Alligator mississippiensis: one gene and its partners. The protein of the gene in region 1 interacts with the protein of each later gene in a biochemical or structural test. Links are inferred from orthologs where the notes say so. Each region holds a gene or a part of one and is shown on either strand. Other genes may lie near its edges. The genes, in order: PRKCB, RACK1 and RASGRP3.

What was found.
Region 2: the proteins of PRKCB (region 1) and RACK1 form a complex in vitro, tested with the Homo sapiens proteins (2 studies listed by BioGRID). The link is inferred for Alligator mississippiensis from reciprocal best matches to the Homo sapiens genes PRKCB and RACK1.
Region 3: of the proteins of PRKCB (region 1) and RASGRP3, one has a biochemical effect on the other in vitro, tested with the Homo sapiens proteins (2 studies listed by BioGRID). The link is inferred for Alligator mississippiensis from reciprocal best matches to the Homo sapiens genes PRKCB and RASGRP3.

Annotation. Positions count from the first base shown.
Region 1 is NC_081836.1:58,191,076-58,198,918, forward strand, and holds the start of PRKCB (protein kinase C beta type), read left to right. Parts: upstream 1-4,757; 5' UTR 4,758-4,820; coding exon 4,821-5,035; intron 5,036-5,131; coding exon 5,132-5,163; intron 5,164-7,843. UniProt on the Homo sapiens protein: Calcium-activated, phospholipid- and diacylglycerol (DAG)-dependent serine/threonine-protein kinase involved in various cellular processes such as regulation of the B-cell receptor (BCR) signalosome, oxidative stress-induced apoptosis, androgen receptor-dependent transcription regulation, insulin signaling and endothelial cells proliferation.
Region 2 is NC_081834.1:51,398,092-51,406,177, forward strand, and holds the start of RACK1 (small ribosomal subunit protein RACK1), read left to right. Parts: upstream 1-5,071; 5' UTR 5,072-5,181; coding exon 5,182-5,290; intron 5,291-6,798; coding exon 6,799-6,970; intron 6,971-7,967; coding exon 7,968-8,086. UniProt on the Homo sapiens protein: Scaffolding protein involved in the recruitment, assembly and/or regulation of a variety of signaling molecules. Interacts with a wide variety of proteins and plays a role in many cellular processes.
Region 3 is NC_081824.1:168,158,974-168,166,998, forward strand, and holds the start of RASGRP3 (ras guanyl-releasing protein 3), read left to right. Parts: upstream 1-4,932; 5' UTR 4,933-5,173; intron 5,174-8,025. UniProt on the Homo sapiens protein: Guanine nucleotide exchange factor (GEF) for Ras and Rap1.

The DNA of each region.
Region 1 (7,843 bases):
GGGTTTTATTCCAGGAGAAGCCAAACCGAGCGTGCAAGGCAAGCAGGCTCCTCGGAGCTGACGGGCACATAACTACCGGATCTGCAGGGCCCGCGGCTCCAGGACAGCCGCTTGCTTTGACACCTCTGTCTTGCAAGGACGCTGGTGCTGCTGCCCGGTGGGGAGGCTTCTCTGCGGGCAGCAGGGATCGCCATCCTTTTCCTTCGTGGTCCTGCCCTTTTGCTCGAGAGCACAAAACCAGGGTTTTGAGCCTTTTTCGTCATCAGCCGATCCGTGCTGGCACCACTGTAATTTCTTGCAGTGTTTTTTTTTTAATCAAAAAAAATTACCCAAGGAAAAAGACAGCCAATCAAGCAGGAGGCAGGAAGCGCCAATACAACCTGCAATTACATTGTATCCCTGTAACTTGCTGCAATTGTTGCGATTTAACATAGTATCAAGTTCTCCTCCTCCCCCTCCCCCCTCCTCCCTTATTTCTAGGATCAGTCACAGAAGAGATGCTGTATTTTATTTTTGCAATGATATTTTGCCTCCTGTTACTAAAACGTGGCCAACCTTGGGCTGCCAAGATGCAGCTACTCTATACAATGTATGCATTTCTATAATGACACGACATATTGCTCATTACTTACTCACTTCCATCACATTATGCCGCGGCTCCTGTTTTGACATATTCTTAGATACAGTTGCTGCGCTCTTAGGCCCAGACTTTGCAAGGTGACGGCGGAGGTGTGTTACCATCCCGTCTCTGACCTTTAGACCATATTGAGAGGCATTCTGGCGCCGTTGCAAACGCCCTAGGTGCCCACGACCGGCATGTGATCGACACTTTGGAACGGCTCCTCCAGTCACTCGTGCTAATAGAAACTGGATAAAGTCCGTGCAGTCGCACCGTATCTGATTGGCACGAATGGCTGGAGAGCCAGATCTGCTTTCGCTTTGGCTCAGCGCTGGATGCTTTCCTGGCTGATCTGCTCTGCTTCCACCGCATGCTCCTGGGCACGAGACGGGAAAGGCTTGGTGAGGCCAGTGCAAGACGTCAGCGTGGATGAGCATTGAGGTCCATCCTGGAGAGATGTTAGTTGTGTTTCCAGCATCTCACCTCTCCTCCAGGGTCCAAAAGGAAAAGCAGAGCCCTTGTTGCTTAGCATCTAAGACCAGTCTCTTCCAGTACAGTGTCTCCCATGAGCAGCATCCAGTACAGCCACTTGCTCGCTCTGCTGCTCCCTTCCCGTGAGAGCCGGATTCTGCCCGTGTGTGGATGAGGTACCACCCCTCGACTGCGAAGCAACACAGCCTGCCCTGCTTCCAGTGGTCTTGGAGCCGTTCCCACTGCTGATGGCCTTGTTTTCACGCCCTCTGGCCGATGCAGGGAGACGGAGGTGAAGGAATCTGGGCCAGTTGTTTCAGCACGCGGGGCAATGCCGTCCTGAGTGCTTTGCGTTCCCCAGCTGCAAGAGGAGGATGCTGCTTGCCTACCTCTCCAAGGGACTGGGAACATGAATTCAATATTCTTGGAGTCTTAGTTTTGAGATGCTGGTTCATTTTCTGTAGCTGAAACATGGCTAGTGTTGGGCCCCCAGGGTAAAGTGACTTTGTGCAGCCACCAGCTCCTCCATCGACCTTCTGCCATGGGGTTGTGTGTCAGGAGACAACTGCCAGCCCATGTCTTACTGTCCTTGTTTTCAGTGTCTCGCTCGGGGCAGGGGCAGCACGGACACTATAGCATGCAGGTGATAGCACCAAGGTTGCAAGTTCAAGGTTGTAGCAGAAGTGCTCACAGTGCAGCCACATCTCTGACGTCTGCTAAATACCTTGTCACAAAGTGTTTGGAAAGGAAAGGAAGCGTCTTGCTCCCTGAGCCAGCTAGGAGTTGCTGTCACCGTTTTGGAGGAGAGCCTGCAAGAGAATCTGTGCTCTGTGGTTTGTCAGGACTGGGATGGGAATGAGCTGGGCTGGGTGCCCCTGGGGAGCCGTTTCGGAGCTTGTTTGTATTTCATTGCTTTCATTGCACCGGTGGGGGATTTTCTTGCCTTAATAAAAACAATGGCATCCTCAGAGGAAGGAAGCACTTGGAAGTGTAAGGCTGACCATTTTCAGAGCTGCTGAAAGGCACTGAATGCCTGCTAACATTAAACCTGGCCTTGGAAATCCCGGCTTTAACACCATCTGACTGTCTGTGTGTGAATTAAGAAACGCGCATACTAAACACGGGAATTCCAGCTGCTGTCGGCACCTCCCCACACACGGGGACCTGGGATGCTGGCACAGGAATATTGACACGCTGGTTAACATTTGCATTGAAAAATGAAGGGAAAAAGGTTTCCTGAAAAGGTTTCTGCTACATTCAGGGGCCATGAGCCACAGCTGTGCAGGCTGCATTTGGAAATCAGGGCAGTTACAAGATCAATGAGCAAGAAACAGGCAAAGTGCACTTAGTTACAATTAAAATGGAAAAAACTTAGTACAAGCGTGCCGAATGTAGCACACCCTCCAGAGAGCTTGCTATTCCTTTAGCTAAAGTAATCAAGAACGGGCCATTGTGATTGCCTTCCGTGTGTGTGTGTGTGTGTGTGTGTGTCCGCGCAATGCATCATTTCTGTGTCTCTTACGGAAAGGGCCAAGTCTGGCTTTAATCACTGCCACAGTCAGCACCGTGCACCCCAAGCGCAGGAAACCCTGCGAGTGCACCCTGGGCACTACACGGTGAATCACTTTCTGCAGCGCTCCATGTTCAGCTCAGCGGGTGACAAAAATATCCCAGACTCCAGGGTACGGCTGCAGCCATTGCTTTTCCTCCTGCCTTCAGGGTAGGATGGCTTGCAGCGCTGCTTTAAAATCACAAGGCCCTCGGTATTAGTAACAAGTTGGTTCGTTCCCAGGAAGGATGTAGCAGCAGCATCGCCTCTTAACCGACCTTTCCAAATCTTCGATCCAGTGTTGTGGCTCATTGGAAAAATATGATGACGATGCTGTGGGGCGGTGGCATGCACCGGTGCAGGCACTGAACATGGCAGGCTGAAATTATGACTGCTTTCCTCGGAGGAAAACATTTCAGGTAATCACCGTCGGCCAGAAGAGCAATCCTTCAAATGGGTAGCGTGGGCCATGCGACTTCCAGCCCTGCTGAGGCCCCTGCAGGCAGCCCGGGCGCCCTACCATACTCATCTTCCCAGGGCACCGGGTCATTGTCATGTCTAAGACCACGTGGTGGTTTTACCATCTTCATCCGCACATGAGCACAAACCATATCCCTCGTTGCTGGAAAGTCCTGTGATTATTCTTGCTATGAACACAAGACAGAGCAGGACAGGTCAGATACATGTTTTTCTATGATTATGACACCTTTGAAAATAGCTGCATAACAACTAACTGTGTTGGGGCCAGTTTTAAAATGCCTGCTAGGTGGGGACTGTGCGTAGAGCTTGTGGGGCGTTCGCCACGTAAAGATAGCGAGATTGAGCTGGTCATTGGAGACGAGCACGGGAAGAGCTTGCTCTGACTCGGGGCCGTGGCCGAGGTTTAGTTCTCAGATCCAAGGTGAGCAGCTCCCTCAATCTACGCAGAGCCCCCGGGCGTGGAGGGAGATCTGGACTTGCTCCCACGGTCCAGCCGCAGGATCGCCCCCCTGCACGTTACCCGTCTCCTGCGGCCGTTTCCATGCCACGGCCCGGTTCATGCAGAGACCGGACTAGGCCGTCATGGTTTCGTCTGCCCTGAAATTCTCCCAGGTCTATGAAATGCAAACATCCAGAACTCTTGGTTCAGAGACAATTACTTTCATTAAACCAACTGAGAAATTGTAAAAATATATATATTTCTCAGACCAACACAGCTACCAAATACATCCCTGAACCAAGGTCACCAAGGTCTATGGTTTCACGAGTTTCCAAGTGTTCAGATGAACACGGTCCTGCTCTCAGTGGCCTGGGCCGGGCTTTCCTGGCTCATTATTACTGGTATTTGTTCATGGGGCTTCCCCCACGAGGGCAGTGCCTCCTGCTGTTTTCATGCCTGTGTTTCACTGCACTGGCACGGAAGGCAAGAGGGGGAGATACTCTGCTCAGGTCCCCTCTGCACGGAGAGCCCAGCTGCGCGTGAGCCTTCCCCTCCTCTCCTTGCTGCCGGGGCTGCCCCACCGAGGGCTTCTCTTGCACCCGGCTCTTTTCTTGCACCGCATCCTACACGCTTGCTGGCTTCACGGGAGTGCCAGTGTGGATGTCTGGTAGGTATTGCCCAAGCAATGCCAGTGCTTCCTCCTGCTTCCTACCTGCCGATGGGTGCACGCCCCACCCCCGGCTCCTGCTCAGCCTCCTCCTGGCTAGTGCCCGGGGGCTGTGACGGGGCGCTTTCCTGCCCCGTGTCGGGGCGGTGTCCATCAGGCTGGGGGCTTTGGGAGAGGGCAGAAGCCAACCCCCCAGCTCCCCATGCACCCGGGAGCCCCCTCACTATGCAAAGCAGACAGGTGCTGGGCAGGGGCAGGGGTGATTGTGGCACCTGGGGGGCGAGGGGTGGCAGGCAAGGAGGGAGGGGGCGGAGCCTGGGGCAGATCTATGCAAATGAGGAGAGGACGTGGCGGGGGGAGGCAGCAGGCAGCGATGCAAAGCAGGGGCTCCGCGATGCAAATGAGGCGGGCGTGGGCGGGGCCCGGGAGCGCGGCGGCGCGCCAGGGGGCGGGGCTATGCAGATGAGGGCGGGGAGAGCGCAGTGTGTGCGCCTCGGACTCCCCCAGCTGCGCCCAGAGGTGCGCGCGGCGGCGGCGGCGGCGGCGGCGGCTCGGCCGGGCTCGGGCAGCGCAGCGCAGGGCAGCGCAGGGCAGCATGGCCGAGCCCGCGGGCGCCGGGGCTGGAGTCGGGTCCGGGTTCGGGTCCGGGTCCGGGTCCGGGTCCGGGGCGGAGGAGGGCGAGGGCCTGGTGCGCTTCGCCCGCAAGGGCGCCCTGCGCCAGAAGAACGTGCACGAGGTGAAGAACCACAAGTTCACGGCCCGTTTCTTCAAGCAGCCCACCTTCTGCAGCCACTGCACCGACTTCATCTGGTGAGAGACACCCCGCCGGGCGCGGGTCCGGCCGCGGGTCCGGGCGCGTGTGTGGGGGTGCCCGCCGTGCTCACACCCGTCTCTTTCTCTCGGCAGGGGCTTCGGCAAGCAAGGCTTCCAGTGTCAAGGTGGGTGCCCCGCGCGCTGCCGCTCGGCCCCCGGCCCCTGCCTTGCGGAGCAGCGGTCTCCCTGCCCCGCAGCCGGCTCCCCGGGCCCCGCCACACGGGCTTGCACCCGCAGCGTCTTCCTCCGGGGCTTTGCATCCGGCGTGTCGCACGGCCGGCCGGGCCCCTGGCTCGGGCAGCGCCCGCGGGCTCCGGGTACAGCCCCCCTGGAGCAGGGGGTGGGTAGGGGACCGGGGCGCCCGTCGAGTGGCTTAGTCATGTCTTAGCAATCCTGTTCTTAACGAACCGTCTAAGGCGCCGGTGCCCGGCTAGCAAACCAATGCCCACGATATCAAACCGGTGCCACAGAGAGACCCCGGAGATTAGCCCCGGCGGCTGTTTTCCCGTGGGGAACGCTGCAGGCCGACTTGGGTTTGATGGCAACAGGCGGGTTGTGGGCTTGCAGCTACACGGCGTGCTCGGTGACGCTGCTGGGGGGGGATAGGGCTTTATAACAAAATGTTTTGCAACGGTGTCCAGGGCTTAGCATAAGCAGAGCTCTTAATGCTGGGGATTTTTTGTTTTCAGCCAGTTATGATGCATCCTGATTAACTAAAATCGGTTTAGTCTGCCTTCAGGATTGGCAGGGTTTTTTTTGCCGCTTTTTGATCCTTTTTCAGGGTAAGACTTCAGAGATATTTTTGTCCCACATAATTACGCACATGGGAACTATTTTCTGGCCGAGGTAGATTGGTTCAGGTTCGCATCGAGATGCGATTTGGGATTGAAGCCCATTCGGGGCTGGTGGTATTCGCCAGCACTGAAATCTTGCGCTCGTGAAAGTCGCTCCCAGATCGTCATCTTGACAGGTGCCTTTATCCCAAGATGAGACAATTTGCATGAGAATAATGCCGTGTGCGACACCAGTCTCACTGAAACAGCTAGTCCTGGCAGACTTCATCTGTATCTGAACCAGGAAAGAAGCTCCATTAGGCCTAATATGCAGCCCAGAATCGAACCTGCCACCTAGATGGCTATCTGGAGATTGGCATCACCATGGCCGCTCCACTTACATCTCTTCTGGGATCTGGAGCTTTTCAGGGGATAAGGTTTACTGTGGCCCGTCTCTTAAATATAATGAAGTTTCCAAAACGCTTTGATAAGACTGGTTCTCATCTCAAAATGCTGTTGATAGCATCGCTGCAGAAACTCTTCCCGGGCCCACTGATATCTACTTGCAATGGCCAAAATCATGTGGCCCGTCGCATGTAACTGCATAACGTTGTCCGTGGACATCGAGGAGGGAAAGCAAATGCAGGATGCAAAGCTCAGCTAGAGGCCCTGCCTGCCATGCTAGCCATCACACCTGGTTTTCTCTGTTTCCAGCAAGCCCTACTGATGTTAGTCAAGGTCGCTGTCTCATCTGTTAAGTTCCCAGGGCTCCTTGTGAGGATCTTGGTGTATGTAGCAGCAGCATCGGATGTGTCCCTATAATTGTAGCATCACTGCAATTCAAAATGTAGCAGAAAAGAGGCACCTAGGATTATCCATCCCCCCCCTCCGCAATTTATGATGCCCCCAAACTACGTCCCAAATCATTACACTTACGTAGATGGTGACTTGTTCGTGTCATTTGTACCGTGCTTCGGGATGGGTGGAGTGAGAGCCTCTCTCAGGCACTTCCTCGAGAATCAGACTCTGGTAACTTAGTTGAGCTCATCTTTATGGGGGCAGAAGCATCTTTTACTGTGTGCGCTGCAGTCTGTAGGATATATTTTTAGGGTAGCAATTGAAGGTATGGACTAAAACTCAATATTGTGTGCCCTCAGACCACTGCTGCCCAAAGGAAAAGTCCTGGTGGGGTTTTAGCTTTTCTTGTGGTAGCAGGGGATGCCGGTCTGAGTCTTGGGTACCACTGTTTTTTGTCTTCCTCAGAACTGGTGAGTTTATTCCTAATAATCCTTCTGACTCCATTACCTGCCAGCCTGGTGCCAGATTTGTAGTCTTATTTCATGGAAGTCATGCATTGGGGTTTTTATTCAGAGGGTACCCACCCTGTCAGCTTTCCAGTCACGTATGGTTCAGTAAGCATCTTAATTTGACCAAGGAGAAAAATCCTTAACTTTTCTCTCTCTCTCACTGATCAGAAGGAAGGTTTCATGCTCTGGAAATAATCCAGATTTTATTCTGTTTCCAATTTAGAATCAGTTTTGAGGAATTAAAATGACTTCACAGCCAGTCTTCTGCATGGTCTGAACTGCGGGGTGGTTCTAGCCTGTTACCTTTTAATTCTTGAGATAATTAACTTGCTCTTGTTTTGGTGGGGGTAGTCCATGGTGCTCGGTGCTGTACATACCCACTGCAGTCATATGCAGCCCGGGAGATGAATGTTGTTCCAAATCTTCAGGCATGGAAATGAGACCCAAAGCAATTCAGCCACTTACCCGAGATCCAGCAGGGAGTCTGGGGCAATTGGGAGTTGAGCCCAAATCTCCTGGGTCCTAGGTGAAAATTCAAGCCCCTGCCCCCCGCTTCCATCTGCACAGTGTCCGGGCACCTGCTGTGATTCGGGGCGAATGTGAGCAAAGCGCAACTCTTAATTCTGAGTTGGCGACAAAAACCAGTCTCGTGCCTTTTAGTAACGGCGTCGAAACATTTTGCTCTGAATTGATCTAGGCTTGCAGTAAATACATGAAAAAGACAC
Region 2 (8,086 bases), on another chromosome or scaffold:
AATAAATATCAATATGAGCAACACACACAGTTATTATAAGTATGAATTAATTCTTAATTTAGGAAAGTATAAAAGAGTACATTTTTCAAACAAAAATATCAGTGTGATATATGAGCTTGTTCACAGTTCAACTCAAAAACTAATCATACTTTAACAATGACTGCAGTGACTGCACCAGATTTTCATGCCGTCTTACAACAGACACCCCTCCTTCTGATCAAGACACTGCCACCACTTCCCTCTCTCACCAAAGCACCTGCATAGGCATGTATAAGCTGCACCTCATGCCTTTGCTTCAAATGTTCTGCATACTGACATATGGCAGATTATCAATGTTGTGTATTGTGAATAGCCTTACAAATTCTGACTTGAAAATATTATATCATGTATTAAAATGTGCAAACAAAAAAATGTTTACAATACAAGGAAGGAAGGAAGGAATCATTTTTTATAGGGGTGCACCAATAGAGAATTTTTGGGCCAATACCAATGGCTGATTTTTAACAAGCCATATTGGCCAATACTGATCTGATTGCTGATATGCAGCTGGGAAGCTTGGAAAGCAGTGTCTGGCTGGTAAGTCTGTTGTGGGGGAAGAGGTTAGGGGAAAGGAAAGGGGCATGGGGGTGGCAGATCAAGGCAGCCACGACGAGGGAGGGAGTGGGGCTGGGGCAGGTGCTGCACAACTGGGTCAGAGCACAGGATGGAACTGCAAGAGGTTCATCAGAAGGAGGGGGGGAGGGCGGGGGGCAGCTCCTGTTGCTGCATGCATCCCGGGAGGATATGTGGGGCATGTGCCCCTGGAACTGCACGTGGGGCAAGGGCAGGCTGCTGCTGCAGTCTGGGGCCGTGCCAGGCTCTTCCCGGTGGAGGTTGGGTCAAGCTACTATTGGGGTAGGCAGCAGCAGCATTGGAAGCAGGGCTACGGGGGGGGCTGCAGCCACCCCAAAATTCACCATAGCCCCCTCCTGGTGCTGCTGCCACCCGCCCCAAGCGCAGCCTGGCTTAGCACCCCCTGCTTGGGAAAGCCCTCACAACAGACTTACCAGCTGGACCCGGCTGCTCTCCACACTGCTGGGCTTTGCTCCTGGCCGCCTGTGTGCTGCGCTGTGGCTGTGCGCATGCATGGGGCATTTATTGGTGGCATTATCGGTTACATCAGCCAAAAAAACCTGACTGCTGATACCATCAATTTTCCTTATATTGGTGCTGATCTTCTATGGGACCGATGTATTGGTATATCTCTAATTTTTTGCATAGCACTTCTGCTGCTCTTACAGCACGCTACTGTGCCATGGCACACCCTTTGGGGAATCTGAGAAGAGCAAAGTTTTAAAATTTAATTTAATTGAAAACTTCTTCACTGCTACCGAAGATACCCCTTCTATGCCTCTTTCCCCCCTATTTTGCCATAGAATAATAATAAAAAATGTTATTTTAAATGCAAAGTGCTGCACCTAGGGAGGAAAAATGTCCAGCACACCTACAGCCTAGGGAATGACCTGCTGGGTGGCACAGAGGTGGAAAGGGATCTTGGAGTCCTAGTGGACTCCAAGATGAACATGAGCCGGCAGTGTGACGAAGCCATCAGAAAAGCCAATGGCACTTTATCGTGCATCAGCAGATGCATGACGAATAGGTCCAGGGAGGTGATACTTCCCCTCTATAGGGCGCTGGTCAGACCGCAGTTGGAGTACTGCGTGCAATTCTGGGTGCCACACTTCAAGAAGGATGCGGATAACCTGGAGAGGGTCCAGAGAAGGGCAACTTGTATGGTCAAGGGCCTGCAGACCAAGCCCTACGAGGAGAGACTAGAGAAACTGGACCTTTTCAGCCTCCGCAAGAGAAGGTTGAGAGGCGACCTTGTGGCTGCCTTTAAGTTCATCATGGGGGCACAGAAGGGAATTGGTGAGTATTTATTCACCAAGGCGCCCCCGGGGGTTACAAGAAATAATGGCCACAAGCTAGCAGAGAGCAGATTTAGATTGGACATTAGGAAGAACTTCTTCACAGTTCGAGTGGCCAAGGTCTGGAACGGGCTCCCCTACCCTGGGGGTCTTCAAGAGGAGGTTAGATGAGCATCTAGCTGGGGTCATCTAGACCCAGCACTCTTTCCTGCTTATGCAGGGGGTCGGACTCGATGATCTATTGAGGTCCCTTCCGACCCTAACATCTATGAATCTATGAAATGAATAAAAAGTTTGTATTAGAATGAGTCCATATATATTCTTTGGTTTTCCTCTATCCACATGGAAAAGGAAGCGGGGTGGAGAGAAGAGAGAAAGATGGCAATTTAAAAAAAACTGTTGGTATCATTTAATTTGTGATGGCTAATAAAAAAAAAAAATGTTCTAGGTTGCATTACTGAAAAAACTTCAAAAAAACTTCAAATGAAATAAATCATTTTGTTGAAAATTTCTCATGAAAAAATATTATTTTTTTCAATTCTCAGAGATTTTTCTTGTGAAACATCAAATAGCAAAAATGAACTGGTTTACAATTTGCAGCTTGGCCTCTCTCTTGCATTTATGTCATCATTTTCCCCCTAAACTTGTGACTACCACACATCCCTACTGGATATTCTCCCAAAATTTTGTAGACATTGTGGATTAGAAAATGCAAGACAATTACCCCATGAAGAGTCCAATATTATGGGTCCAGCCTTTCAAGATTTGTGTCTACTCCTCTTATTCAGCAAATATTTAAGCGAATGTTTAATTCCCATTGAATTTCTAGCAAGTAAAAGATACCATTTTCTGTTTTGATTGATTCTGGATTTTTTTTTCTTTTAAACTTTCAAGGAAAAAGCTTGTTAGTAACAAAAATCAAAAAAGCTATGCTAATGGCATCTGGGCCTGGAGCAGTCTCTTCCTGCCTGAATTCTAAAAGTATGAAGTTATTTTAGTTAAAAATAACTCTTAGAACGCACTGAGAGTAAGATCAGGTCCAATGCATTTTTAATTAAGCACAACAGCGAAATAAATACGTAATACTTCAACATTATCAAACAGTCTGGTGTTACATTACTTGGAAGTCAATCTGAAATACATTTCAAGTGCAAACCTTTTCGAATACATATTGAATGCTGCGTTCACACAAAGAGTTAAACAAATTATCACAGAAATATTTAATCTGTCCAAAAAAAAATGGTTTCTACTGCAGATATGAAAAACGTTGTTTTAAATACCTGTGGCAGACGAATCCACCTACCTGACTGATCCTTTTGAACAGGTCTACAATTTTTAAGCTGTAGCTGGGAAGTCCAAAGCATACCTTTTGTCAAGATAATCATTTAACACGCATCGCTTTTCAGTCTATTAAGTTGCATGGATAATTCCAAGTGTAAAAGGGGCCAGGAGTGTGATTGTAGTCTTTCCTTAAAGTTTTTAAAGAATTCTCTTTTAATTCCAAACTGAGAAATGTGCTTTGATCTTGCAGCATTTATAGAAAGTGGAAGTAAGAGTAAAGGAGATATGTTAAGGTCCAAAGGGATCTGAACTAGTGGTAGAGGTGACATCTTTTATTAGACCAATTAGATTTTTGCAAAAAAAAGTTTCATTTGCAAGCTTTCAGGCACAGGGACCCTTCTTCAGGCATAGGAGAAAAGACTGTAAAAGTTCTCCGAGGTAGAAATGAAAGTTCATATTTCATAGGAGAGTTGAAGGTGTGGTAAAATCTCCTGTTTGGAACACACACCAACTGCTGAAACTTCCTTAGCCTCACGAAGGGTTTTTGAACCCGAAAGCTTGCTTAATAATTATTTTCCAACTATTTGGGTTGGTCTAATAAAAGATATCAGATTCACCCAAGGAACCTTGTCTGCTTATGTCCTTAGACCAGCACGGCTACAACCTACACCCCTGTCTGGAACAGTTCATTTTATGCAGCTTAGGGCCAGAAAAAAGTTGGACTAGTCTGTTTACCTCGAAGGTGTTTGGTGGCTAGCAGGACGTAGAGTTATATTTCCTTCTGGTTATGATATTCCATATTTCACAGAATAAAATGATGGGCTGCTCTTCTGGGCAGGAATTTCTCATGTGGCAAAGTATCTCCGGGCTCTGTGATAATGCAAATTACCTCAAACAAAGGCAGGAGCAGGGTCTCAGGTGGTAAAACGTACTTCCTTCTTGTAAAATTTCATTAAAAAAAAAAAAATCAGTGAAAATTAGGGTCCAAATTAATTTCAACTGTGACAAGCTTGAAGTTGTTCCTGGTCCTATATTAAAACAATTTTTTTTTTCAGAAATTACCAGTACTGGTATAAATTAAAATAATATAGATTTGTTGATCATTTGTGATAATCACAGAATCATATCAAAGTAGGGCTGGAAGGATGTCCAAAGGTCTAGTCCAGCCCTGCTTGAGGGGGAATCATCCCTATCCCAGCGAGCCAGCCCTTGTCTAGCCCAGCGGCGTCACACTCCCCTTCAGGGCAGAGGAGCAGCACAAGAACAGTGAAGGGGCGCGGGGTGGAGCCAGGGCTGGGCTGGGGGGGCGGGGCAGGGCGGGGCGGGGCGTGTCGTGTGTCCCCGGATTCGTGCACGAGGCGGGGTGCGCTGCATGCTGCGGGCTCAGGGCCAGGAGCGGTGCTGGCCTCTTCCCACAGGGGGCGCTGGGCCGGGGCTGCGCTCGGGCGGGGCTGGGGTGGACGGCGGCGGTGGGCTGTATGGGGGGGTTCCGACAATTTTAGGGTGGCTATAACTCACCCCTGCCCCCCCCACTCCCAGCGCTACAGACAGCTTCCGACCCCGACCATCACCTCGCTTCAGTTTTGAAAGCGGGCGTGAATTTAGTGTAATATCAGCGGCCACACGCGCCAGGCCCCGCCCCCCCGCTCTCATTGGCAAAGGCCGCTGTACGGAACCGCCACGTAGTGGTCGCCATGACAAACCCCAGCGCCTCCGCAAGGGCGCCGCCATCTTGGCTCCTGCTTGCGGAAGCCACCATGTTGGCTGGCGGGCGCCTCTCCTTCCCGCCTTCTGAGTGACGGCGGCCGGCGGCAGCCATCTTGCCGTACGGCGCGACGCGACGCGAAGCTTATTTCCGTTTCCGGCCGACGTCCCGACTTCCTTTCTCTCTGGGCCGCTGCCTGAGCGAGTGCAGGGTCCGGCCCGCGGCCGCCGCCGAATCCGCCGCCATCCTCCCTCCCCCGCGCGCTGAGCCCGCCGTGCCGCTGCCGCCATGACGGAGCAGATGACCCTGCGCGGCACCCTGAAGGGCCACAATGGCTGGGTGACGCAGATCGCCACCACCCCGCAGTTCCCGGACATGATCTTGTCCGCCTCGCGCGGTGAGAGCGGCGCCGGGGGTGGGGGCGGGGCAGACCAATGCACCCGCTTGGGGGGGGGGGCAACCTGCAGCGGGTGGCATAAAGGGCTGTGGCTGACACCATCGTGGTGGCAGCTGCGGGGGTGGGAAAGTCCACCTCGCTGCTTGGTTGGGGGCTAGGCAGAGACCAACCCTGCAGTGGGGGTGGGGAACCAGGCAGAGGGAGATACCATTTTGCTGGTGGGGGGAGGGTGGGATGTGCCATTGGGGATGCTGGGTCTGCAGCCACGTGGAGGGGTGGGATGGGGGATGGATCACTGAGGGGCCAGGACACAGGGCTGCACCATTTGCTTCAGCATTGTGCAAATGTGGCTGCAGCTGGAGGGGATTGGGGCCCTTAGGCCTGGGAGGGGTTGGGGCAGCAGAACCTGGTGCCCGAGACGAAGGGGCAGGTGTCCGGGAAGAGCCCCTGGGCAGGGGGCCGGGGAGGTGCGGACCTTGTTCAGGACAAGAAAGTGGAGCTCAGACTTCTGGTTTAATTCCCATCTCTCGTCTGTACCAGGCTGCAGGGCTGGGTGGGCTGCTGGGACTCAGTTTCCCTAGCTATGGGGTGGGGGGTGCTGTTTATTCGTCCAGGAGCTGGAGGTGGGGGGTATTGTGAGGGGAAGCCCCACTAAAAGGTGTTCAGGGGGTGCTACCTGTTGAGGCTCTCTGAGGGTTTTGGGAACTGAAGGTCTTTGCAGGATGGTGGGGCCTGTTAGGCTTTCAATCCCTGAGAGGGGGCAAATCCAGCAGAAAGTGGGGAGGGATCAAAAGGGAGCAGCTTTGGGACCTTCCTAGCCTAGGATCCCTTCCCTACCCTCAGGCTGTCGTGAGTTGGTGGTGCTCTGGGGGCTTGCACAAATTCCTTGTCTGGGGGTGGGGGGTGCTCTCTGCTTGCCCAGGATGAAGTTTCTCTGCTTGCCCAGAGGCCATCAATGCACTGAGGTTCATCCCTGCTAGTATCATGGAGCTGCACACCTCCCGATCCCAGTGATTAGACCTGACGCGTCTGCTGACCCTCTGGGGTCTGATGACAAGTCCTGCAATTATGATGGGATTCTGGGAAGGAGGGTGAGTGGGGCTCCCTGTCAGGGCACATTGTTCAGGAGAAGCCCATAGCTATAAAATAAAAGAGAGGGAATTTGGAGACCTAGTGCTTAGGTGAGCATTGGGGATAAGGGGTTTTGCCGTTTTATGCAGCCCTGTCTCAGAGGAGGGGACAGGTTGGTGCAATGGAAAGGATATTGGGAACCGGACGCATGTTGGTATAATCTAACTTGCCCACGTTTGATGAGACTGGTGATCGACTGTGCCATAGAGGTTGGGACTGGGTAAATGCCACGATTGATTCCAGGGGCTGTTCTCAGGATTGGTATGAAGGGGTTCAGTGGTTGCTGCCCAGTCCAGTCTAGGGGCAGTCTCCAGGCCCCGTGCTCTTTTGCTGTGGTAGGGAGACGCAGCTAATTCCTTTTTGCTTCTCCTGCACAGACAAGACCATCATCATGTGGAAGCTGACCAGGGATGAGACCAACTATGGGATCCCACAGCGTGCCCTGCGTGGCCACTCACACTTTGTCAGCGATGTGGTCATCTCCTCTGATGGGCAGTTTGCCCTCTCTGGCTCCTGGGATGGCACCTTGCGCCTCTGGGACCTTACCACGTGAGTGACAGGAAGAAGAACAGGGCAGGGTGGCTTCCTTGGCAGAAACAGAGTCTGCGGGGCAGAGAACATGGCGAAAGAACACAGTAGAACAGACAGGGAATAGGATACCCCTGGGGGTGATGCTGAGATTTTCCCCGCTTCTAACTTCCTTGGCCTGTTTGCTCTGCAGATCACAGCCCTCCTTCCCATCCCACTGCACTGATGCACTGTGGAGTAGTACTGGCTGCCCATTTTGAAGTCCACAGACCAGTTACAAAAAAGCAACCAGGGATATAGCAAGGGTTGGCAGTTTAAAGAGGGGAGATCCTTATCCCTGTGTGCCCCACATTTTCAATTCCAGGTCAAGCATTCTTTGTCCTGTGCACTTTTTAATCTTAAGACTTCAGAAATGTTTGGTTTCGGAGTACGGGTCACCAGCCTGAAACAGCTACTTCTAGGAAATGGCTAGCTCAGCTTTTAAGACTGCAGAAAGCTGGTAATCCAGATAGTTTTGTTCATTCCTTTTCCCTTCTAGTCCCAATGATTAAACCTGACACAAGTCTGCTGACTCTCTGGAGTCTGACGACATGTCCTGCAATTATGATGGGACAGGAAGGGAGATAGGGAGCTTTATGGTCTTTCCTGCTGGTCATGTCCTTTATTTTCCTTGTTCCACCTATTTTTTTGCATGATACACCTCCCATCCTCTTTTATCTACCTGGGCTGTCTCCTCTGCGGGTTCCTGGATTATGCTTCTGCTCTAACATTTCATTTAGTTTGCTTGTTAGGGTCTCCCCCCGCTCCCCTCACCCCACCCAACTCAGAACCTGGCTCATGCTTCTTGGTGACCTTCAACTCCATGAGCCCAACCTCCCCCCACCCCAGTCCTTTTACCACCATGCCTCTTCTGTTGCTCTTTGTGAAGTTTAGTAGGGATTTGGCAGGTGGATGTAGGAGGAGGTGTCCATAGTGACACCAAGAGTGACCCGAATGTTTTTCCTTTTGCCCCCTGCAGAGGTACCACAACCCGGCGATTTGTGGGCCATACCAAGGATGTCCTGAGCGTGGCCTTCTCATCTGACAACCGGCAGATTGTCTCGGGTTCCAGGGACAAGACTATCAAGCTCTGGAACA
Region 3 (8,025 bases), on another chromosome or scaffold:
AAGTAGCGTCACAGATTGCAAAACAGAAAAAATATCAAAGATTCATGCTATTGCTTTGAGGCTCTTGAATCAATTTACCTACCATACACATAGCTAGTTCACAGCATGAGGATCACAGCCAGCAATTACTGTAACCTCATGAGACCCTGAACATGCAGCACTGCTTATCAACATGTTATCATCCATGCATGTCAACTTGCTGTTTGAGTCTGAACTGCTGCTTTCTCCTGCTTCTTTTTTATCACAAAATAACTTGTTCTTCAGGCTTCCCCACAGCTGCCAACCTGCAAATCCAGAAGGATATGTTTATATTTGATGGCTTTCCTGGAAATCAAACACAGTTGCTGTATTTGTAATTGGAATGACCCTTCAACTTACAGCTCCTCAGCTGCTTAACCTGGCACAGATCCACTGAGATCAATAGGCCAGATCCCCAGCTGGTTTAGATTGATACAGCTCAGAAGTAACATCCATTTATATGAGCTAAGGATCTCATCCATTGCCTATGCTCCATGCTACAGGGTATGTTTACACGAGACACTTACTGTGCATTAGCCTAATAACACTGTGCTGTAAAGCATTACAGCACAAATCATGCTAATAGCCTACTGTGCAGTGTTATTAGGCTAATGTGCAGTAAGCATCACTAAATAACTATGCACCAGTGCTAATGGGCAGTAACTCTAGGTACTGTGCATTGGGTTAGTACTTTATCAAGCATATACTAAACTAAATGCACAGTATCTAAGGCACATTAATGAATGTGTAGACATGTCCACAGGGACCAGAAGAGCTGTGTCCTTCTAATTCACTCCTTGCTTCTCAGAGAAAAGTGACTTCCAAAGTAATAATTTCAGGCAGCCAAACATGAGCCAAACTTGGGGGAAGCCCTCATTCCACACACTTTCTCAGCACAGCTCAGCCAGAGCAAGGCTTCATCTCATCCTTATTAGTGATGTAAATCTTTTTTTCCCAACATCATGGACTAGGATGATTACTGCTGAAGTGCAAAACTATGATCCTCTGAGCAAATGTTTGTATGTGGTGACTTTTTCTTGATGTCCAAGGGTCTGCTTACACATGTCAAGTCAAGCATGTATCCATGCAGTTTTGGGACCCATGCCCTAAATAAGTTCTAAGAAGGAGATGGAAACAGACTCATCTCTTTAGGCTATGGGCACCAAGATACCTAAACTCCAATCTTGTGCATTCAAGGCATGCTCTAGATCTCTATATATGTGCATAGAGAGATAGAAGGAGTATATAGCTTACTTCCTGAGTGTTATAAGACCAATAAAATTTATTGTGCTCTAAAAGTGGCTTCCTCTGGCAGTTATTTACATCATCTTTTAATACACTTTATACCCTGCAACACTACCAGGGCCCCATTCCTCTCTACGCTAGTTGCTGAGGTACAGGCATGTGCTATGCCCCATCACTGGTTATGCCAGCTTGCAAACTTTGCTTGTGAGCTGGAGGAAGGATTCTGCTTGCTAGGCTCCCCACTGGGCAATACAGCTCTACAGACCTCCAACAGAGCTATGTCCTAAAGGCAAATTTGAGCCCTCTGTCATTAAGGGAAGCTCTGAAGGAGGAATGGTTGTGCCAGACAAAATAAATCTTTCCTGCTCTAAGGCTAATGTCCCACAGTTAAACTCTGGCTTCACATGATCTGACATCCCTAACAGCTCCTTGCTTTCCAAAAAGCACTTTGAAGTGTAAGTCTGAAGCCTTCCCACCATGTCTCCCTTGAGGAAGGCTCACTTAGCAGGAAGCACAAGCAGCTTGGAGACCAGAGGGGTGTTTTTTTCCCCCTTTCCAAAAAAAAAAATTGGGAATCTATTTTAAAAAAAAAAGAGTGCACCACTGGTGAGAATTTCCTCTTGGTGTCTGATGACATCAGACAGCACTGAGGGGAAATCCTGCTTAAATCCTTTCATTCAATTCTTAATGCTTTGGAGATATTTTTGGCCAATGTTAAGAAACTTGTTTGGTTTTTGGTGCTCAGGAAAGTAAGGCTAATGGCACAGATAAATATGATGCAAGCTGTCTCCCACAAATGAGCTTTTATTGGCACCATCCTGCCTCTCAACCCCCTAGTCCAGTGGTTCATAACCTGTTTAGCCTCAAGGCACCTCTCCATAACTTTTCTGAATTTAGCAGCACCTGGGTTGAGAAGTGATTTTGTAAAAACAGCTTAGACCTATTACATGGTCATTGTCTCTCAAAGTCATCTTACCAAACTGAACTAACTTTTCCTCGTGTTGCCAGGCCTATAAGCACTTCAGACCTGGGGTGTGAAATGCAAGCTGAATTTTTTCAGTCACAGAAATCATCTTACTGTTTCACTTAAAACCAAGGATGCACCCTTTGGTTTTGAAGGAAAGTTCTGGGCATGTTTCCCCAATTTGCAAGCAAATAACCTGAATGCAAAGACTGAGCTTTAAAGGATTTTTCAGGTAATGAACTAATTAGAATTATAACTAACTATATTTATAACATTTGTAGTAACATTTATTTTCTAAATGGCCTGTTTTATTCAGGTCTTTCTGTAAAGCTAATGATCAATGTTGAGATGAGGAAATATGGTAATCTCTGTGAGAGATTTGAGCACCACCTAAGGGAAAGGCTGTTTTTAAAGGTCCTTATTGTGTTAATGTTTGATATACTGCACATATTCATCATAGTTTCTCTTATCACCATGTTTAGTGAGAAAATATTTTTGGTACCAAATGGAATATTACAGAGCCGTTTTATGTGACTTCATGTTTCTAGCCTCAAGCTTGTAAAGAAAACCTTGAAAATGTCACCTGACTTAATTACCAAAGACTTGAAAAATCTTTAGCCAGACTTCATCAGCATCTAATTGTTATTCATTGTCAAGCAGAAGCTCTTATAATGAAAAGTGGCATTCTTGTGAAACACAGTCAGGCCTTTTCATGAAGATGCTGTTCTTCAAGACATGGTATGCTACTGTTCGGTTACCGCTACAAAAACAAAGTCACTTATACACAAACACACTGCACTGTGCAACAAGTAAGGTTGCTCATCACATAAATAAGCCTGAAACAAACATGGCAAGTTCCAGATCACTATGACTTATGCACCCAAATCCCATTGCCTTTCTGTGGGACTTGGGCTCTTTTAAAAAAATGTACCTAAAACCTCAAAAGGAAGGAAATGGGAAGCTACGCCATCTTTCAATATATATCCCTTATGCTAAGGGACACATATCTCCCCACTAGCACAGCCACCATTCATCACAGCTATCAACCCCACAGCCTTAGCTCTTCTCTCCAAGTTATGTTAATATTCCAGTTTCATACCAGCAACTGCAAAAGACAACAGAGAAAGACAAGGTTCTTTGGGTGAATTTGGTATCTTTTATTAGACCAACTAAACAGTTGGAAAAATTGTTCTTTGCAAGCCTTCGGGTTTGTACTCAAAAGCTTACAAAGAACAGTTTTTCCAACTGTTTTGTTGGTCTAATAAAAGATAGCACATTTACCCAAAGAATCTTGTCTGACTATGACCTTAGACCAACACAGCTACAACCAACAGCCACAAAAACAACAGAGGCCATTTATGCAGTTATTTGTATAATTTGCATAAACTGAGCAGGATTTGTGTAGGGAAGTGAGGTAGAAAGAATGCAAAGAAAAAAGAGAAAGGGAAGGGAGGAAAAGTATAAATTAAAAATTGTTAATTTCAAAAGCTTCTTTAAACTATGCCTTTAATATTCCTATTAGCCTTATGAGCAGGGATCCTGGTTTTCTCTGATTAAAAAAATCCCCAATTTCTGGATTAAAAAAGTAACCCAAAATCCACATTTTTCCATGATCAACTGAAACACCATTAATATACTTTTTTTAGTCAAAAAATTGGGGAGGTAGGGGGGTTACCAGAAAAAAACAGGATCCCCCAGTTAAGTTAGTTGCTTATGTATGCCTCCACATTTAAAGCATTTCAGCAGCTCCCATGTCATAAACCAATCTAACTTTTCTGATTGATCAAAACAAAGAAAACTACAGCATGCACATGAAGGATCACTTGGATTGATCAGTGTGAAAAGTGCTGAATCATTTTTCTTTAAATCCGATTTAGGGCCTAATCTAAAGCCCCAGGGAAATTCATAGAAAAAACACTGTTGTGAAACAGTTCAGGCTGGAAAGGCTCCAACTGACTGCAATAGGGTTTGGATCAAGCTTCCATTCTTCAGTTCTCAAGACAATTAACAAAAGTTTGATGTTTGTATCCCAGTCACGGTTGAATGGTGACCCATGTAAAAATGTATCAGAATATATGTAGCAGAATAACTGTTTCTCCATGTGCATAGATTTTGCTTCAACTTTCAGAATGGGTTGTAACTCTAAAAAAGGAAAAAAAATGAATGGAGTTGGAAGTCAAACTTAAGCTTAGTTTTAAATCCTACTCCTATGATGATGCTCGAAAAATAAAGCATTTTCTAAACAGCTTTCTCTGTCCTCCTTTTATTAAAACTTCCCCACAAAGCCTTCGCCTGATTTTGAGATGGAGAAAGTATGCAAAATAAACACAAAAGTGAAGCACTTATTAAAGAAAATGGTCTAATTGCCATTATGCCCCGTTACTGTGTTGTGCAGCCAGATGGACTCCTAATAATGTTTTAGAACCAATAATGTTCTGCTCAGAAAGACCGGTACTTTTGATGTGGATAGTATTTGCATAACACGTCTTAAGAAACCTCCTCTAAGTATTTTACACTCAAATAGGTATCCACTAGAAAAAAACTACAAGATCTCCCCTTTGTTTAAATGCATTTCCTGCCTTCCTTATTGCTATGTTATGTGTTGTGGCAGACCTATTTATAGTTCAAAAAAAAAAAGGAAAAAGCTCCACTGGAGGCAGGAAAACTAAGTCGGGAAAGAATAGGAGGAAGTGTAGCTGCCAGTTAGCCAAACAATCTAGAACTAATTGAGCTCAAAAGAGCCACAGCTTTACTGTAGCCACCAAGAACAAACAGCACAACTCTGTTATTCGCTTCAGAATCCTTCATATGAGGTTGAATAATGAACATGGTGTGAGTAGCACAGAAGAGCAAAGGAAAATCGCAGCATATGAACACTTGAAAGAAGTTAGCGTGAGAAAAAGAACAGTGGCCTGAAAAGGGGTGGACTGAACTTGACACCTTAAGGTAAGTCTCTTCCTTTGGCATTTCAGCTTGTACTTTTAATATCTTTCACAGATGAGCAATCTCCTAAATGAAACGGTGGGCTTTGCAGAAGCAATTTTTGCTTCCCAAACAGTTCTCCAGGTGAACTGGCTTTTACAATAAACTTTTTGCTTTGAAATATTGGTTATAGATCCTTAACGGGTTGCAATAACCACAGGTATCTGTGCTAAACATCCCCTACCAAGTAAGGTTGTTATCTCATGTATATTTGGGTTTTGTTGGCGCTAACAGTCATTGATTACATATTAAAGCTATGATAATGAAAGGTTTGATTCCTATAAAAAGCATGACGTCGAGCAAAAAATGCATTATTACAATGTCATGGACTCAGAGAGTTCATCTTATCAGATGTGTTACAAGAAAAGGATCCAATCTAAAATGGAAGCACCTTAATGGTATATTGTTTTTAAATTCAAGATGTGAAATAACTTGTTGGGGATTTTACTAATTTTTTGTTTTTCTATGTAAAACCATGCAGTCGCATTCCAGGGTCTGTCTTAATCAACAGCCTGAAGCAGACGATAAAATTCAGTCTTCCTGTCTCTGGACAGTTCATGCTTTTCTACAATGTTATGAAATCATCTATAAAAGCTGCATTATATAATGTCAGAGCACAGATTATATGATTTTATCTGATGAGTACTGAAAGAGAAAGGCTCTTCATTAAAAAGAGACCTAAAATATGTATTTGCCCTCAGTGATGATGATAGACTTAATTTGTAGGGGAGGGGGTTTTGTTTGGCTTCTTTTTCAGAAAATTCTGCTTTGCCGTATGCCAGAATAAGAGACAATAATGAGAGGGGAAGGCAGAAAGAGAGAAACATAGGCTACTTCATACTAGAAGATTCAATATTCTCCATGCACAGCACAGTATGTAGCTACTACTGCTAGATTTTCAGCCTATTTTAACAAATTGTGAGAATAGAAGTTGTACTCGTGTCAGTGATGTACTGCCTCATATCTGTTCCACGAAGTACGCACATTAGTCACAAATTACTCATGCTATTAAAGATTAGCAGTCATTGTAAAATGCTGCTAGTGAGTAAAAGAAAAGGAAATGTGTGTGTTGTTATGCTGCCTTATCCTGGTAGGATGCTGTTACATTCGGAGCCTGTTGTTGTGAAGATAGCCAGGCAGGATGTCTGCTGATACCCACTGAGGTGAAAAGCTGGGGGAGGACTATCGTAAACAGTGGTAATCGGTACTGCTTACTAAAGACCAGAAGTGCCCACAAAGTACTGTGAAGTGCTGAATGGGTGATGTCAATGGAGTTTGAGATTGAGCCTCAACACCTTGTAAAATCTGGCCCTCGTGCACTTCCCAATTTTAAACTCCTTATTCTTTCTATACAACAGATCTCTCTTCTGAAAGGGCTTGCTCTTGAGAGATATGGAGCACCTCTGTGAGAACGAAGTGTGTGAAAACACTGAACATGGTGCAAGGCCGAGACCTATGAAAATATTTATTGTAGATGTCCAGATAATCCCAACACATTTGCAGGGAGAACGTTTATCATTTTGCAGGCAGAAGGTTTACCATTTTGTTTTTACTCAAGTCACTCAACCTATGTGCCTCCTGGGGGCATATTTCATGCGCCTAAGTTTATTGTGCAGTAAATTCAGATGCATTAATTGCATGTGTAGATGCACCCACTGAGACCAAAATGTGCTTGATGTGGGTAAGCAGGGCCATCCCTGGAGAGGGAGTGACTGCCCTTTGGGGGGCCCCGCGGAGCCCGGCAGAGCAGCCGCGGCACCTCCTACAGGGCCCACCTAGTGCTGGTGACTCTGCGCCACCACTAGCTTCGTGTCTGGCCACTTGCCACCCTCCCCTCCATGCCCCCCCTGCTGCTGCTGCCGCTGGCTTCTTCGCATCTGGACCACGCACAGGCTGATTTGCCCCAGGCCCCGCACCCTGCTAGGATCGTCTAGTGGAGCAAACTCACTGTTCTCTCCTACTGACAGTCAATCGTATGAGGAGCAGAAAGGTAGATTAAAACTAACTATACCCATAATCACCCCCACTCCTGCAATGGAGCAACTCAGAATCAAAGCCAGTATCTTCAGTACTGCCAATAGTATTCAAAACTTCTGCTTCAGGCTCTACAAGCTCATGTTATTGTTTTTAAAATAATACAGCTTCTAAAAGTAATAAATGTTGGGGTCTTTTTACTTACCTTCTTCACTTCAAGCCTTTAGGATGAACTTTTTCAAGCCTTTTTTGCAACCACAAGAGCTAGGAAGCTAATTAAAAAAAACAAATTTAGATACTTTCACAGTCACATGATTCTAGAAGTTGGGGCTTTTAAAAATATAATGAGATTTGCATTAAAATTATAGAAGTTGACAAGCTCACAAGGTTCAAAACACTATTTGTAGATTCAGGTCAAAATATTTGCTGGCTCTGGAGATTACATATACCACAAGGGGAAATTCTGTACTGACAGTTTAATCACCCTATAAGCAAGGCCATAGACCTTACTTCATAGCCACTTAAGGCTACATAATCTGGATGGATTTTAAAACTACTCTGTGACATACCCTCCAGAGATATCTAGGCCCCTTTTGATGCATGCAATGGCATGCAGACCTGGAATTATTAAGACGTCTATCTTTACAAAATGAAAGGTGTGTGATATTTCAGCACCTAAATGATTCAGAGTGACAGGAAATTGTCATGGCTATTCAGCTGCCTGAGTGACTAAAAGTGGTGTTAATCAAGATAAAAAGTAAAATGTAAAGGTTTGTTCTTCATATACTCCCAAGCATGGAAGGGGAGGTTCATGAATTTAAACTTCATTTGAGTTAACAGGA